3 linked regions of the Drosophila melanogaster genome follow. The protein of the gene in region 1 interacts with the protein of each later gene in a pairwise test. Each region holds a gene or a part of one and is shown in the gene's direction. Other genes may lie near its edges.

Region 1 (6,191 bases):
GGGAAAATTCAATTAGTACAAATTGCCGTCCAGATTATCGGAAAATCATATCAAAACCGCAAGCAATGCAGCTTTGTTAATTTTCTGTAATTAATTTCAATTATTTTCATTGCGGACTGGACCGCGCTCGCGTTGCTCAATTTGCGGGCAGTCGAGTGTGAAGGATTCCCATTTGGCGGCAGTCGTCGCTTGAAGATCGCCACCGCTAAAAGCAACCGCGACAATTTTATTCCATTTTCATGTCTGCGTTCGCCAAAAACCGCAAAAATGTAACACTTTAAAGTGGACAATGGAAACACTAGCACCTTTAAATAGTGGGTGTGGTTTTGGCGTTGCGGACTGACCGATTAGATTAAAACTAAATTATAAAAAAAAAATAAATATCTTGTAAAGCATACAAGTAATTTTCAAAGAAAGGATACATCGTTAAACTTGAAATAGAAAGAAAATCTGAATTTAATCTATTTAATCTAAAAAATCGAATAATTTAGGAAATCGACGTACAAAACTGACCAAGTTTCTAATTTAAATGAAAGTTAGGATATCCTACGTTTCTCCAGTTTGGGTTAATATATTTTTAGTAATATTGAAATAATGTATTTCAAGCTTCAAATAATTTAATTAAGACTTAAGACTCAGGAGTTCCCTTGTATGTTTTAGAATATCTTGAATACTAAATCCAGACCAAGCACCTGATAATACCGGCTTAAAAGTGGAAATCCTTTCGTACCTTGGCGTGCAGGATAACGATGACCATGTCGTTGCGCTCGCGCATGTACTTCTCCATGGCGTCCCGCGTGAGCTTCTTCTCCTCGATGTGTGGCCGGTAAGGACCCGGCAGCAAGGACATCTGCATTTGTTGTTGATGCTGCTGTTGTTGTTGTTGTTGTTGCTGCTGCTGCTGCTGTTGGTGGTGCACTTGCAATTGTTGTTGCTGCTGCTGCGACGACGGCGGCTGCGGACCGGGCAGTCCAAAGTGCGGCATATCCTGGCTCTGTTGTTGCTGCTGCTGGTGAGGATCGAGGGGTGAGCCGTTGGGATTTACAACCGTAGTTTCGTAGGCAATGGCGGGCGGGGCGGCGGCGTTTAAATTAAATTGGCTGTAGCTCTTCATTTATGCACATGTCTCCTTGCATTGAACTTATTGGAATTTTGTTTGGATCTTTTCTATTATTTCGTTTTTGGCTATTTGGCAAATTCGTTTGGCACTTTATACACTGTTCGCTGGTGCTGTTTTTGTTGTTGTTGTTGCTGCTGTATGTTTTCTATTTTGTTATCCTGCTGCACAAACACACACGCAGAGCAGCTGTCGTTTCTCTCACGCACTCTCTTCCTCTTAACCGCGGATTGGCTTTGTTGTTGTAGCTCAAGCTGGATTTGCGGCTAGCTGCGATTCACGACTAATCACACATATTTCAGCGTTTCGAGCAGATCTTGACTAGCGACTAGCGGTAGTGGCGGCTGGCTTCTGTTTAAGGCTGCAACTAGCGCTCGAGTTATATTTATAATATGCTACAACTAAAAAAGCGACTGAGGATGTTGATGTTGTATCGATAGTCCGATAGGCGCTTATTTATGATAGTCGCTGCCTACCGGCGATATGTTTGTCGCTTCACAGCACTGTTGGTTGGATTTGGATGGCAGTGGGCATTTGGTTATTTTATAGCCAATTTGGAGTAGCTAATATATTTTGTTTTAACTTTGCAGTTTCTGAATACATTTGTATATTTATTCCCATCACATCACTGTTAAAGATATTATTTCTTATATCTATAAATACTTTTAACTGATGCGAAAGGTATCGATTTTCATTGAACACTTCGATTTTGAGCGCCCACATTTAAAATTCAAGGTACAAACTACCAACCTTCTTGTCTAACTGTCCATGCATTTTTAAAACGGGCCGTGGGAAAGTACACATGGGTGAATTTAAAAGATAATTCGCGACTTTAGGCTTAAATGTAACCGTTTAAATAGGTTTAGTGGCAGAAACACACAATATGCAACTAAAAGCTGTTAATTATGTATCAGAATGTAAGCTGTAACTCATTAAAAAACGAATCTGGTGGAGTACACTTAGTTATTCATATATTTTAGCAGTCACAGTGTAAAGTGGAAAAATCTACAATCACTGAATATCATTTGCAATCCGATAGGCAGGTACAATCGATATCACCGCTCGATTTTCGGTGCATTGCCATATCTAACTTGTGAAATCAAAAATCGGTTCCGTTCGGTGCTTGAACTTTTGAGATATTCTAGAAACACATCCACAATGGAGAACTTTAAGGGTCTACAAAAATCCCTATACATATGGACGGACAGCGCCGACTTGGACAAGCGCGTGGAGCAACTAAAGGCGGCCACTGGCGGCGATGTGGCTTTGGAAAATGTGCACCGCCTTTCGTTTTGTAAGTTGCGTGCGGTGCGGTGTGTGTGTGCTGTTTTTGACTAGCCAGTGAGTCAGCAGATTAAAATCAGTGATGTTTATGCATTACAGCTTCCTATGCCAACTCCAGTTTCGACCTGATTGTGATCGAGTGCGCCCAGCTGACCGACAGTTACGTAAAACTGCTGCACATGCTGAAACCGAGTGGCAAACTGCATTTGGTGTCCTACATCGGTCCGGCGGCTAGTTTGCTGCAGGAGATCAAGCTATCCGGATTCATAAACTGTCGCGAGGACTCTCCAGATGCTTTGACCGCCGAGAAGCCTGGCTACGAGACAGGATCCTCAGCCAGGTTGTCATTCGCAAAGAAGAACGCCAGTGCAGTCAATGTGTGGAAGATAAGCGGTGACGATGAGGAACTGATCGATGAGGAGGAGCTGCTGGACGAGGAAGACAAACAGAAGCCGGATCCGGCTGGTCTGCGTGTCTGTAGCACCACGGGCAAGCGCAAGGCGTGCAAAAACTGCTCCTGCGGGCTGGCCGAGGAATTGGAGACTGAAAAACAGAGCCAGAAGGCCACCGAGAATGCCAAGTCAAGCTGTGGAAATGTGAGTTCTCTTAACCCCGATGTGAGTTAGCATTAACCTCGATTATAACTGATTTCTTATATGCACAGTGTTATCTCGGCGACGCCTTCCGCTGCTCCACTTGCCCCTATTTGGGCATGCCCGCCTTTAAGCCCGGTGAGAAGGTGCAACTGGCCGACAACCTCCTGAAATCCGACATTTAACTTAGGCTCACCATGGTATACCCAATCAATCACATTTCAAATAGTTTATTAAGCTGACTTACTAACAAACAATAATGTCATAATGTAAATACAAAAATGCACCGCGTCATAAACACAGCATGTAGATTTAAATATCCAAGTGATCACATTTCGCATGGTGTACCCTTGATGAGATCGCGGTTCTGGCCCATCAAAATACGATAGTTGACGGCCGAGGGATCGAGTTCCTTGTACAAATATGTCGGCATCTTGTCGGACAGCACCCAAATAGTGCCTTCATTGTCGATTTTCATGTCATTTGGAAAGACCAGAGTGTGCGAATCGGAATCGATTAGCCCCTGGGTGTCCGGAGTGTATGGACGCTTGATGTTCCAACAAGCAATGGCGTCTTTGTTCACCTGCGTATAGAAGATGACGCCGGTCTCGGGGTCAAAGACCTCGGCGGTGGACTGGCCATTCATGCCACGGTCACCAACGTATTTAAAATCGTAATACGAATCGCCAGCGGTCACGTGTGATTCGTTTTGCAGCACGCGGTTCGAAACCTTGAACTCCTTGGTACTGGCCAGGGCATGGAAATAAATGTCCTTGGAGTGATCTGGATTCATTGGGCCCACGGCCAGCCCAAAAACGCCATCCGTCCACTGGAAGTTCACGCCGCCCACATTGAAATCACCATGCAGAGGATCGAAGTGGAAGAAGTTGTGCTTGACGCGGTAGGATTTGTCGTTCCTCAGGGAGTACACAATCACACCGTAGGCACCCAAATCCGGAATGTAAGCAAAGGCATCTTGGCACTCCGAGCGGTCCGCATCCACAACCTAAATATTGATTAATTCGATCAGTTTGGAATTTAAATAATACGCCTATGCATACTCACAATATTCGCAAAGAACGAGTCCTCTTTGGTCTGATCAGCGGGAATGGTGAAACGGCGCAGTAAAGTATCTGTTTTCAAGTCGAAAACCAGGATTGAATTGGGCGTAATCTGCTTGGGACTGCCCAGGATGTCGGCCAAGCCAGTATCGAGCACCCACAGGCGATCGCATACGTCGACTTGAATTCGGAAGGTGGAAATGACAGTGGAGTTGTCCTTCAGCTGGATGCCGGCATCTTGAGCCTTGTCCGCGTCCAGACGTCCACCGGATGGTGTCTTTTGGTCCTGTGGCTGCACATCGATGGGCAGCTTGTTGGCCTCCCAACTGGGATACGGATGCAGCTTTGGCGACTTCTCCGTCGAATTAATGTCGATGTAGTTGAGTGTGGCAGCAACACCAGCCTTCCATCTAAAGGGAAAGTAGATCATTTAATAATGAGGAGAAATAAATTAACTAAAAAATTTACATTTCAGACTTGTTTAGTTACTAATTACATTTAAACCTGACACTGGCAAGTAACAAATTAATAACATTAAAAAGTACCATTCACCTGCGCAATTATTATGACTGATTGGATATAGTCTAATATAAGCTATAGTTTTAATTTATATCTTAGCACTATCAGTTAAAACTTTGACGGCAACTATAGCTTAAATAATTATGCTGTATTATCAACAAAATATACTTTTTTTACGTATCTTATTTTTCGAAATGTTTTTAAATCGAATTTTGTTTTGATTACTCATATCTCCCGAAAAGCAGAATGGTTTTCGGGGCTTTTTGGCCAATAAGCGCATCGGTGGTAAATCCCAAAAAGGTGACGTCACAAAGACTTTGTTTACTAGTTACCTAGTTAGCCTTTTATGGGATCCATAATATTCCATAGAATTTTCCGATCATGTGTTTTCTCTTATTAATTTATAATTAACCTCATGTTACGATTTGCATTTAGAAACCACGATTTAAAATGCAAAATAGACATACACAAATGGGGTAAAAAATGATAAAGTTAACTAGCCAGCGAGGAAACCGGTTTCCCCTCCTGACGCTCGATGATTTTGCAAGTCTAGCTTGACATTTAATTACAAACCAAGCCAACAAAAAAGGTAAATAATAAGAAAAAAAAAGAAAACCTAACTACAGCTTACCGTAAGTTTGTTGTCTCTTTTTTTTTTGTCTATGAATTTGGTTACTTACCTTGGCACAGTGACAAAGATTCTGTTTTGCCAACGCTCCACGCCCAGCGGCAGGTTGTTCTCCACGATGTAGTGGCCATTCGACTTGGCCTCCGCCTCGGCCTCCGGAGTGGGCCAATCGAAGGCCAGTTGCTTCCACGAGAACTTCTCCTCCAGCTTGGCCGATGCAATCCGGCTGAAGGCGCCGATAAGGCACACCATTAAGCCCAGGCTCAACATTCCTAGTGGGTTCATTTTGGATTTTTCAATTATTCGATTTTTTTTGGATTGCTCGTTTCTTTTTTTTTGGACCTCCGTTCAGTTCGAGTTGAGCGCGCTAACTGCAAGAGCTTAGTTTGGAATCGGGCTTAATATGCTGGCTTGGATCCCAAACAAGCGGAGCTTTAAGCTCACAGTACACAGATATTCGATCCCGTGGAGTTATAAACTGTTATACCAAGTGCCCAGCTGCAAGTTAATGGTTATTGCGATGGGCTGGGACTTAAAATTAGCAACATAACCGGAAGGAAGATCTGGAATTTACTTGTTAATGCTTTAAAAATACTTTTTTGCTCGCTCGAATAAAATCAATCGAACAGTGAACCTCGTTTTCAGTTTGTAACTAATGGGTCAATTACTGCATTGATATATATATAACAGAATGAAAAAGAATTTTGAGTATTTAAAATAAAATAATATTGCCAAAGCCTTTACATGTTTAAAAAAATTTTAAGAAATTTTCATTTAATAATTATTAAACTGCATAAACAATTCAAACTCTGATTTATGAATAAAGGTTATTGATTCTCTCATTTAAAATGCAGCACGAGTGGGATGCGAAGTAAATGTTTGTTGCTTTTAAGAACGATTTGTATTTTAAGAAACGAATTTGTGGACAATGTCTGATAATTGAGTCTGAAATTTTAAAAGCAAATGAACTTGAAATTTAAAAATGTTAC
Region 2 (4,940 bases), 1.7 Mb from region 1:
AAGGCAACACGGAACTATCGTAAATTTCAACTATTCTAGAAAATTGAAATATTTAAGCATAGTAACGGTGCTCTCGAAACTAAACAAAAGGGCTTTAACATTGTAAAATAGAAAAATATAGCATGGAAACTTTCGTGTGTATAGACGTATTATAAAACCAGCATAAGACATGCCTATTGTGGATGTGTTATCTTATACTGCCTTATAAGGAAGTAGTATGATGCGAAGCGCTCCCCCTTCTTCATCGTCCCTCAGAGCACTAAGTCCAAATTAATCTTCCTCATCCTGTCCCAATCCCAGTCGCTGCCACTAGACGCTTTGTCACAGAGTGTCGTTGAACAAGCGCTTGGCCTTGTAGCTCGGATGAATCGGTCCCGGTATCCAGTGTGGCTTAAGGGCACTCTTACCGGGCAACCGATTCGCGTCGTAGGGCACCTGCGGAGACAGCTTCAGCTGGCGGTAGTAATCGCTCTTGGGGTAGATGCAGTTGCTCTTAGTCACGATCCGCACATGCTTGCCACTGCCCGTTTGTGGAGTCGCAAACTCTGCGCGCGCAGGCTGTTTGGGTGTGGACTGCGGCAGCTTACTGTTGGCCTGCTTCACTTGCAGTTTTCGAGAGGGAACAAAGATGTCCTGCTCACCGTCCTCTAAAGGGGCATCCCATCCGTTGGTCGGAGCATCATCATCAACACCGGCAGCCTTCGTTTTGGGAGTCGGCTTGGCCTTGGACTGTCCCTCCACCTTAGGTGTGGGCTTGGGCTGCTCGTCTGTCTTCGGCTTCGACTGCTCCTCCTTCGTCTTGGAGTGGTCCAATTTCTTGCGCTTCGCAGGCTCTTCTTTTTCTGCCTTCAAGGTCGGTTGATCCTCTATCTTGGGCTTGGACTGGTCATTCTTCGGCTTAAGCTGGCTTTTCTTCTTCACCTTCGTCTGGTCATCTTTGTTCTGCTGTGGCGGTTCTTCCTTTTTTGCTTTCTTCGACTTGGGCTCGGCCTCCTTGACCTCCTCTACTACCCATGCGTTGTTTATGCTAGAACGCACCTTTGCATTGTAATTCACCTTCTTCTGCAGCTCAGGAGGCAGAGCCTTGCTAATAACCTCATCGTAGTTGTGCTCGTCCACCTCCTCAAAGTTAATGGACTGCAGTAGGCGTTTGCGTTTGGATTTGTTGAGCTTCTTCAGTTTTCTTCCGGTTGCAAAGACCTCGTCCTCCATCTTATCTAAGGCAGCCACTTTTTGCTCCACCATTTCGGACAGAGTTTGTCCCTCCACCTTTGGCATTGTCCTCACGCCAAGTGGAAACTCTCCTCTCTGGTAAGTCTCAAAGATCTGGATAAGTTTGCGCAATCCCTTGCGTCTCTTGCTGTTAAAATCGTTGGTGCGTAGCTGCGTCTGCAGCTCATCTAGTACGCAATCAGCGTTGAGCGGCAGCTCCGGCATGTGAACGTCCACGTTGCCCGCTCGGGGATCCAAGGATGTGGCCCGCGGCTGCTCCTCCTCGGCGTTGACCTCGTCATCCTCCTCGTCAAATCCAGAATCTAGTTTCTCAATGTCATCAATGGAGGCGGTGGGGAAACCCATCTGCTTCCAGGCATTGTACTTTTCGCTGTACTGTCGTCCTAAGTCGCTCTGGTACATCAGATGATAGAGTACCCTTGTGCGGCACTGTGCCACTAGCTTAGCATCGCGTTGTGTAGCAATGTAGGTGACAAACGGACGCAAGAACATATTAACCTGAGCAGCAGTGATCTCACCATTGGCCGCCTTGGCCAGCTCCTCAAAGAAAACATCTAGGTAGTGCATGGTCATGCCGCGAGACTTAGGCTGCTCCGACATCACAGAAAGCTGCATGCTGCTGTTGAATGCGGCTATCAGGTCCGCATTCCAGTTGTTCTGTTTGAGGAATCTCAGTAGATAACGCACCATGCGGCGGGTGAGCATCAGGAATTTGTCCATGCGCCACTGATCTATGCCAAAGTACTCCTGGCACATTGTGCGCATAAACGCACTAAAGTAGGCCAGACTGCAGGCCGTATTACCGCCGAAGCTGTCCACCATTTGAGCCAACTTCTCGGCCAGCTCCTCCTGCACCAGCGGCTTATCCGACATCCACATGGTGTAGTACAATCCCTTCCAGATGCGCATGAAGTCGTCCTCGTTGAAGGGAAAGGAGCTACCGGCACGCGCCTTGAACCACTTGCGCAAAATGCGGATCTGGCGATTACGCTCCACCACATCGTTGCAGGCAAGAGCACGTATAATTTTCACCTCCTGGGCGACCACCATCAGCTCCTTGGCCACCTTCGGCTGTGAAGCGTCCTCCTCCTGCTCGACCTGGATTTCGGCCGCCTCGGCGTTGCGCTTAACTGGCTTCTTGCGCGTCACCATTATCCGGCTAATTCAACTTTTAGTTGCGAAAAATAAGTGAGCTGTGTATATTGAATACGGTACGGCACGACCGCACGTGTTGCCGTTCGATGTTGCCAGATGTTGAAACGACATTTTCTCCAAATTTCGTCCAACAGCTCTAAATGCATGAGCTGTACTGAAAATGACAACAAAAACTCAAGCTAATGAAATAATTTTCAAAGAATAAAATAAAGAAAAAAAGAATAATAAAAAGAATATTTAAATTGCTAGTTTTGATACTTCATGAAACGCTTGCTTTATACATTTTAATACAATTTTATATATTTTTAGCCATTTATAGGTTGTTATTTTATAGCTACCAGCGCTGACTTCTTTACGGAAAGTGGCAACTCTCTTCCACAGCTGATAATTCGGTCTGCTTTTTGTAAATTTTGCTTGTCCAGCAAATTTAGTTAAATAATTCAAAGAAATCATGCCCGTGGTGAACGTGTCGGCTGCCGAGGAGTACCAGAAGTACATTAATGCGGATAAGACGACCGTAGCTCTATTCGCCGCCGAATGGGCAGAGCAATGCGGTCAGGTGAAAGACGCGCTGGAGGAGCTGGCCAAGATTACTGGCGAAAAACTGCAGTTCATCAGCCTAAACGCTGAACAATTTCCCGAGATTTCCATGAAACATCAGGTACGCTCGTATTTATTTTATGAAAATATAACAGTAGTTCCTCATTCATTTGCGATGCCACCAGATCGAGGCCGTGCCCACAGTCATATTCTTCGCCAAGGGCTCCGCCGTTGACCGTGTCGATGGTGTAGACATCGCCGCCATAAGCGCCAAATCCAAAAAGTTGGCCGAAAACGCAAGCAGCGCGGCGGCAACAGGACAAACGTTGGAGGAACGCCTAAAGGCCCTAATCAATACAGCTCCGCTGATGATATTCATGAAGGGCGACCGAAATGGACCGCGTTGCGGATTCTCCAAGCAGCTCATCGGCATTGTGAACGAAACCAAGTATGCAAATTGATCATCAGTTGTATTTGATTTCAAGTTATAAACGAAAATATCCTTCGATAGCTTGCCGTACGAGACATTTGACATCCTCGGCGACGAAGAAGTGCGTCAAGGCCTGAAAACCTACTCCGACTGGCCCACATATCCCCAGGTTTACGTCAAGGGTGAACTTATCGGCGGACTCGATATTATTAAGGAACTGCTGGCGAACAATGAGCTCGAGTCCACGCTAAAGGGCTAATTCCATCGGATTGCATCTACTCCTACAGACACCATAAACCAGAAACAAATTTTTAGCTAGATCCTTAGACTTTTTAATGGTTTAATAAAGGATTTTTGCTACATTCTGGTATTATTTTATTCATCGAAATTTTTAATAACAATTGTATTAAAGCAAATGTGCTATAGGTCATCCATAAGACATCTTACACGGGCTTCAATGGTGTCACCATAAATGTTTACAAACTTAACGACATAAATATAGCTAGAAATTTGTAAGAACTTTTTTATACACCAGCCCTGGTTTATCTGGTATTTTGCGTACCTTCATTTTGTAAACAGCTGTTTCGGCGTCGGCATCTTGCACATTATTTTCGCAATATTATTTATATTATTGAAAATACCCATTAACTATAAACTTATATCCAAATCTTTAAATGGCTGAGGGTAATACCGCTGGCGGAGAGGACCAAAAGCTGACGGACATCTTTCTAAAGGGCTGGAACATATTCGACGAGCTAGAAGTTACCGAACTGCCCTTCAATGGCAGCGAATTTCAGGTGTGTAATATTGAAGATCTTCATATATATGTAATAAAAACCAGCATTGAACGTTTACCACAACGTTTAGAACAAAGTGAAGACTGCAATGGGCCTTTTCGAGCAGGCCACCGTCATTGTGAACCAGGTTAGCATGTTCAGTGCCAACGAGTTGATCGACGAGGTGTCCACGGAATCGCTACCATTCATGCTGCTCCCTTACTTTCTGGGCAAGCTTACCACTAAGATCAACAGCCCCAATAACACACACTCCATAGAGCTGGGCGAGATTTACTTCAAGGACCACCTGCAGCGTTGCCAGGAGTATGATCTCTGTGCAGCGCCCAAATCTCAGGTGGCTAAGGCGGATAGCCAAGCGGAAAAAAGCGAGCAGCGCGAGCTGGTAGAGGCAGCCTTCAATAGAAACGACAAAATAGCCCAGTATCGCCGGATGAAGGAGATTGACGAGTATATGGCCAGAATGCGCGATGCAGTCAAGAACAAAACGGTCGACGATGAGGATAAACGTGTCTTTTTCCTCAAGTATTTGGACAAGAGTATAATAGACTCCAAGCAGGAATTAGAAACATTGGGCGTAATGAAGCAGCTGGCCCAGATGCGCCTTGCCCGATTGGCTGGTGGCGAATCCGACAACGAAGTGGATTCGTTCCGTCCACCGAATCAAAATCAATCTTCTGCATCGTCCACCTCCCGCGGTCATGGTCACAGCCACGGACCCGGACACCACCACCATCATCAGCAGGCCGCTAAGCCAAAGCCCTTGCAGCCCTTCATCATAACACGTA
Region 3 (5,910 bases), on another chromosome or scaffold:
CGTGAAATAGCCGCGCAAATTGACTGCGTACTGCGGATTTCCCATTCTCGTCTTCGTAAACTCAATCGTCTGCTGCAACTGGTGGGCGAAGAAAGATTGACCGGCGCCACGTTGGAAAGAGCGTCCTGTCCAAGTGTCGTAAGAAATGCTGATTAGCCACTTGTAGTGTTTCGGCTCCTTCGATTCTTTAAGTTCCACATTCAAAGCATACAGTTGAGTTAGCACATCCTTTATAGTGTCCACGTAGCAGATCAACCAGTAGTAATATATGCTCTGATCGTTCTCCGTGTTCTTGACCAGCACAATGGAGCGCAGGCATTTGACATCGTTTGTGGTGGGCGTGATGACGTGTGATCGCACTAAGGGCGGTGTCCCACAAACTCCGACTTCGGCGACTTTTGTTTCTTGTGTCTCATCGACGATTGGCGGTTGCACATGGGCGTTTTCAATTTTTTGTTGCTTTCGCGGCGTAGCCCTTTCTGATCTTTTATCTGCCACTATTTTGTCGGCTACTAACTTATCCGCCAGGCCAAATAATAGGTAGTCGTATAGCTTCTCTGGTTGCGAAGTTAGTTCCTGATCGCTGCACGCTTGAGCTGCCAGGACTAGGCATTGTCTAAAGTAACATAAATTTGAAATGGACACTGATTTGGCCACGTTGCGACTGAGCTCGAAGGGATCCTGTACGCACATGGCCCTATCCAGCTGGAAAGCGTCTGGCGGCGCACCTATTGCATCATGCACGAGCTTTTGTTGCTCATCGTACTCGGGAAAACCTCCCGGCATGCCCAGTGTTGTCTCCTTGTCCACACAGCCGCCCAGAAACGGACTCAATACACTTTTGTCAAAGTTGACAGTGCAGTAGTATATGAAGAAGTTTTTAAGTAAATCCAGCGTGGTGAGCCGTGCTGGGATCGGCGGCGTTAGGTCCAGGCTGTAGGCATAGTTAACGCCCGACAAAATAACCGGTGGACAGAGTGACTGGAGCTCTTTGACGGAGGGCACTAGTCGATTCACTTGCAAGTTAACGATGATCAAGGATATTAAGCAATAGCTTGTCATGCCGCCATGACTAATCAATTTTAGCTTCTTGGCCCAAATTTTCAAAAACAGGCAGAGCTCGCGTATCCGCTCATTGCGAAACATCAGTTCGCCCACAAATCGGGAGTTATATATGCTATTCGGATTTGACATATTGATGTCTATGTTGAGTCCGGTGAGCTGATGCTTACATCTAATGATGGGCACGCTGGCATGACGAATGGTGAAGACATCCGCAAAGCATTTGGATCTTCGTAAAAAGTGTGAGGTCTTGTTGTATAGCTGATTATGGAACAATGGTGGCTGGTTGCCGTTGGGCTCCAGAAACAAATCGATGTCGCTCTCTGCGGAAAAGGATTCGGATTATGTGCTTTTCTTGTACTGGTGATCACTTACCCTTCAGTGCTAAACCCGTAACCAGTGAACCAAAGGGGAACACCCTAACCCTGCCCCTCATCTCCTTCTCTATGCAGTTCCGGACGTGCCCGAAGCAGGTTTTCATATTTTCGAGATCACAAGCAAAGAAATTCAATACGGTGCACAAGTGCCCGCCGGACTCGGACCATTCGAGAGCCTCCCGCAGCTCTTGACGCTCGGATTGGCTTTGTGCGCTGTTAAATAGCTTGGTAATGGCGTTCAATCGCTGTCGCAGTTGCTTTTGTGGCTTGCTGGCGTGCTTGATCAGCTCGTGGGCAAGGCAATCCTGCATACTCCGGAAGGGAGCAGCGCATACCATGCAAAGCACAAGATTACCGTCACCATCCCCAGGCGGAGAAGTTGATTCCGAGGCAGGGGCCGGCATTTCTGTAAAAAATCGTTTTAATTACTGCTTAACGGCCAGGTTTATTCTATTCAATAACAATGATCAATTTGTAAGGGTTGCCCCGTTTTCTTGTCCACTACACGCTGAAAGTAGGAACTATGTATGAAGCCTTCAATTCCCGGACAGAGCAGTACATTATTGCTGGATCGATAGATGGGTATGCCGTCCGCCAGCACCTTTTCCACGTTTAGATATATCAAAATCTGGCAATCGCTGCGGAATCCACTCAGAGTGGAATTGGTCTCATCGCTGCATGCAAAGTGCACATGGTTGCGGTTCATCCTACTTAGCCCTTGGCTTCTAATTGCCCCCCAATGTCTGTAATAGGTGCCATGAACTGCCAGGGGTACCTGGCTCACATGGGTAATATTCTCGAGACCGCCAGCTTCGCCTTCCAGCACCGCCAATGAGTGTCCCTGATTGGCGCGAATCTCATGGACTCCGAGTTCTGGATTCCAGCGAAGAGTATATCGTTGCTTGGCATCCGCGGCGGCAATCTCCTTCAGTTTTTCTAAGGTGAAGCACAAGTAGCGTGGGTGCTTCTGCAAATCGGGAACGCTAACAAATCCATCAGCACGGATCGTGATTCCCTCCGTTTTCGCACCGTGCCGCAACAGCCAGGATAGCTTTTTGCTTAGCTGCGTATTGATTTGCTGATTCGAGGCCATTGCCTGCGAAACTTACTTTTATTTACGCAAAACAATGCAATATGTTTAATTGCGTTTCTATTAGAGGTGGCGATGCATCGACATTTAAGACTATCGATGTTTTTAGGTTCATCACTATTCGAAGAAAAAGAAGAAGAGCTACAACGCTACTAGAAACGAATGAATGAAATACTAATTTCAATTTCAATTATTTTGGTATTTCGGCACCCGTAGTTTCTATAACATAACAGTGCAGCGTAACAGCGTGCTGTTAAGTTTGAGGACCAGGCTGTTATGCGCAAATTGTAACATATGAAATACGGTAATCAGTAAATTTTATTCGAAAATTCTGAATTGTAGAAAATGCGGCTGTTAGTGCTCTACGGGAGTCAAACCGGCACCGCCCAGGATGTGGCGGAACAGATCTGGCGGGAGTCGCATCAACTGGGCTTCCAAGGACCCGTGCTGCCTTTCGACGAGTACGATATGACCAAACTTATTGAGGAGCGCCTCGTGGTCTTTGTGGTGGCCACTACGGGTGACGGAGTGGAGCCGGATAACATGAAGCTGGCCTGGCGATTTCTCCTGAAGCGCAGCTTACCCGCCCAATCCTTGCAAGGCATGCAGTTCGCGTGCCTTGGACTCGGGGACTCCAGCTATCCGAAGTTTAACTATGCCGCCAAGAAACTGAGCAAGAGACTACAGAATCTGGGAGCAAATAGCGTGTGTCCAGTGGGTCTGTGTGATGATCAGCATGACTACGGGCATTTGGGTGTATCCCTTAGCTGGACAAAGGATTTGTGGACAGCTCTGAAAGGCATCTCTGGTCTTGACGAAAGTAAACTTAGCAACAGCCACCAAACTACTGTAAAGTGGTCAGTAAAGGAGCTGCCTAAGGATTCCCAAATTGCTCCGATGGACAATCTGCTCTGGAGCCAAAAACAAACTGCCCACTCTTTCAAAATTCTGGATAACCAAAGAACAACGGCGGTGGATCACTTTCAGGATGTACGCTTCCTAAGGCTGCAGTGTCAGACTGAAGATCTTAGCTGGGAACCCGGCGATGTACTCGATGTTCAGCCGCAAAACAGCGATGAAGCTGTCCAAACATTCTTCGACCTTATTCGCGAACACAGCCTGAACTTCGATGAGAGCACTATAGTGGAGGTATCCAGTGCACATCAGGATATGCCCCTTCCCATAGCCTATTCCAATCCCTTAAGCCTCCTCCAGGCCGCCAAATTCGTTTGGGACTTGAGTGCTAAGCCACGGCAACGTTTCCTCGAGGTACTAGCACAGAATTGCTGCGATGAAATGGAAAAGGAAAAGCTGCTCGAATTCTCCTCCGCGGAGGGAATTGATGACTTAGTGGCTTATGTGAACAGGCCGCGTCGTAATCTTTTGGAGGTTCTGGAGGATTTCCGGCACGCCACCTCTAGCTTAACTCTGCAACAGCTCTTTGAGATGATGCCACTGATCCAGCCACGCAGTTTTTCCATTGCCTCGGATGTTTCCGCCTTAAGTTTGGACTTGCTGGTGGCCGTTGTGGAGTACAAAACCATAATGCATACTCCACGTCTGGGCTTATGCTCCAACTGGCTGAAGACTTTGAAATCGGGTACTGAGTTGAGCGGAGTTGTCAAAAGAGGAACCATGGTCTGGCCAAAAGACTTAAGTATACCACTTATAATGGTAGGACCTGGCACAGGCATCGCTCCATTCCGTAGCATTATCCAAAACCGATTGTATGCTCAATCAAAAGGTGCCACAATTGGTCCCTTGGTTGTTTTCTTTGGCTGTCGGAACAAAGCTGCCGATTTCCACTTTGGAAATGACTTCTCCACCTGGACCGATGCGAAACAGGTAGAGGCCCATACTGCCTTCTCGAGGGATCAGGATCAGAAGGTCTATGTCCAGCATTTAATCGCCAAGAATGGTGCTCATCTGGCGAGGCTTATAAAAGACCTGAATGCCTATATCTACGTGGCTGGCAACTCCAATAATATGCCAAAGTCTGTCAAAGAGGCCTTTATCGAGATACTAGATGGCGATGCCGATTACGTGGAACTAATGATAAAACAGCGACGATATCAGGAGGAAACCTGGGCGTAACACCGTATTTATTTGCGTATAGTTCCTATTTGTACAGTTTTGGACGGAAATTATATATTTGCACACACTTCTTATGTCGATTTCAAAAGTCTTCCATCAGCTTTTCGGAGGATGTGTGACAAAAGGGACAGTGACCTTTTTGCAGCACTTGCAGCTCAAAGTCCTCCGCATAGAAAAGCTAAAAAGGGTTACTTAATATACGAAATGAAATGATGTGGTTTGTATAACCTTACCAGCAGACATTGAGGACAATAGGTAACCTGAAGATCGGGTAATATATTACGATAGTACACATTCCGCACATTCTTTCCCCTCCGTTTAAGAATCAGCACATGATTGGGATCTATGGCACGCAGGCCATTGCGATCCAAGCTCAAAGGCAATGCACTGGCCACATCCTCGTTAAATGGATCCGAATCCTCGGCGTGCTTTGCAGGAGCCAGCAGCAAGCGCTCCGCCTCGGCATCAGAGATATCCACTTCTGGATAAAATTGTACTAGGGGTAGAATTTCTAAAAAGAGGCATCATCATTATCAGATATCTAAGCTAATAGACAAAATTCCATACCGAAGGAAACGAAAGAGAAAATATAATCCTGCCGGCAAGTGGGACAGCAATTGCTATTCAAATGTTGACTGTAGTTGGAGCACTTGTAACATAGTGGCAAAAGCTCCTCCGGATCATTGAAGCCACTTTTGCAAGCCTTGCTATTTAGAAAATTTAGCTGAAAAGGTACTTCATAAGCATATCATTTGGATGATTAATGTTTTCACATCACTCACATCAATCTGCTCTTGGACTCCAGCTGGTGGCTTCAACGACTGCAGTCTCTTGTTAATAAGAAGGCATAACTTGTTGGCCTGCAAAAACTTAGCTTGCTTGGCCAGAGTGAAGAGAACCGAACTGGAAGATAGGATTTCTGTCGATTCACGTTCTACTTTTGCGATTTGAGCTCTTAACTTACAACATGCTGACACCTTTGGGGACACCTTTGTGCTCCACTTCGTTTAGTATAAAGCGGCTTACGTTAAATAGGCTAACTGGGGAATGTGTGGTGAATGGTTCTTTCATATATGAGTATATGACACTGTAGGCGTAATAAACCTTGGCAACACGTAAATGATTTTTGTACTCCGTAAGGTGGTGATCAACAGGATTTTGTTCTCTATAAAACAAAAGTTTTAGAAATTAAGAAGTGCACTGATTGTAATATTTCACTTACTCCTTGGCGTGATATACATCTAAATGTTGCTTGGCCAGCAGCCAATAAAAGTAGCTCGCATCCAA

Evidence for each region.
Region 2: the proteins of CIAPIN1 (region 1) and Grx3 interact in a two-hybrid assay, tested with the Drosophila melanogaster proteins (one large-scale study listed by BioGRID).
Region 3: the proteins of CIAPIN1 (region 1) and CG13667 interact in a two-hybrid assay, tested with the Drosophila melanogaster proteins (one large-scale study listed by BioGRID).

The regions. Positions count from the first base shown.
Region 1 is NT_033779.5:15,034,860-15,041,050, reverse strand, and holds CIAPIN1 (cytokine induced apoptosis inhibitor 1), read left to right. Parts: upstream 1-2,189; 5' UTR 2,190-2,275; coding exon 2,276-2,411; intron 2,412-2,500; coding exon 2,501-2,997; intron 2,998-3,065; coding exon 3,066-3,179; 3' UTR 3,180-3,322; coding exon of another isoform or gene 3,323-4,000; 3' UTR 4,001-4,059; coding exon of another isoform or gene 4,060-4,465; 3' UTR 4,466-4,476; intron 4,477-4,530; 3' UTR 4,531-4,758; downstream 4,759-6,191. Other genes in the region: Su(H) (suppressor of hairless), read right to left, coding at 731-1,114; yellow-c, read right to left, coding at 3,323-4,000, 4,060-4,465, 5,255-5,487. UniProt on the Drosophila melanogaster protein: Component of the cytosolic iron-sulfur (Fe-S) protein assembly (CIA) machinery. Required for the maturation of extramitochondrial Fe-S proteins.
Region 2 is NT_033779.5:13,363,692-13,368,631, forward strand, and holds Grx3 (glutaredoxin 3), read left to right. Parts: upstream 1-2,755; 5' UTR 2,756-2,839; coding exon 2,840-3,049; intron 3,050-3,113; coding exon 3,114-3,376; intron 3,377-3,439; coding exon 3,440-3,617; 3' UTR 3,618-3,719; downstream 3,720-4,940. Other genes in the region: Nnp-1, read right to left, coding at 322-2,385; Tap42 (Two A-associated protein of 42kDa), read left to right, coding at 4,033-4,155, 4,226-4,940.
Region 3 is NT_037436.4:8,402,666-8,408,575, forward strand, and holds CG13667 (uncharacterized protein), read left to right. Parts: upstream 1-2,788; 5' UTR 2,789-2,816; exon of another isoform or gene 2,817-2,871; 5' UTR 2,872-2,874; coding exon 2,875-4,623; 3' UTR 4,624-4,689; downstream 4,690-5,910. Other genes in the region: mkg-p (monkey king protein), read right to left, coding at 1-1,385, 1,438-1,843; Tpt (tRNA 2'-phosphotransferase), read right to left, coding at 1,894-2,532; Oseg1 (outer segment 1), read right to left, coding at 4,706-4,801, 4,857-5,134, 5,191-5,347, 5,406-5,526, 5,588-5,788, 5,846-5,910.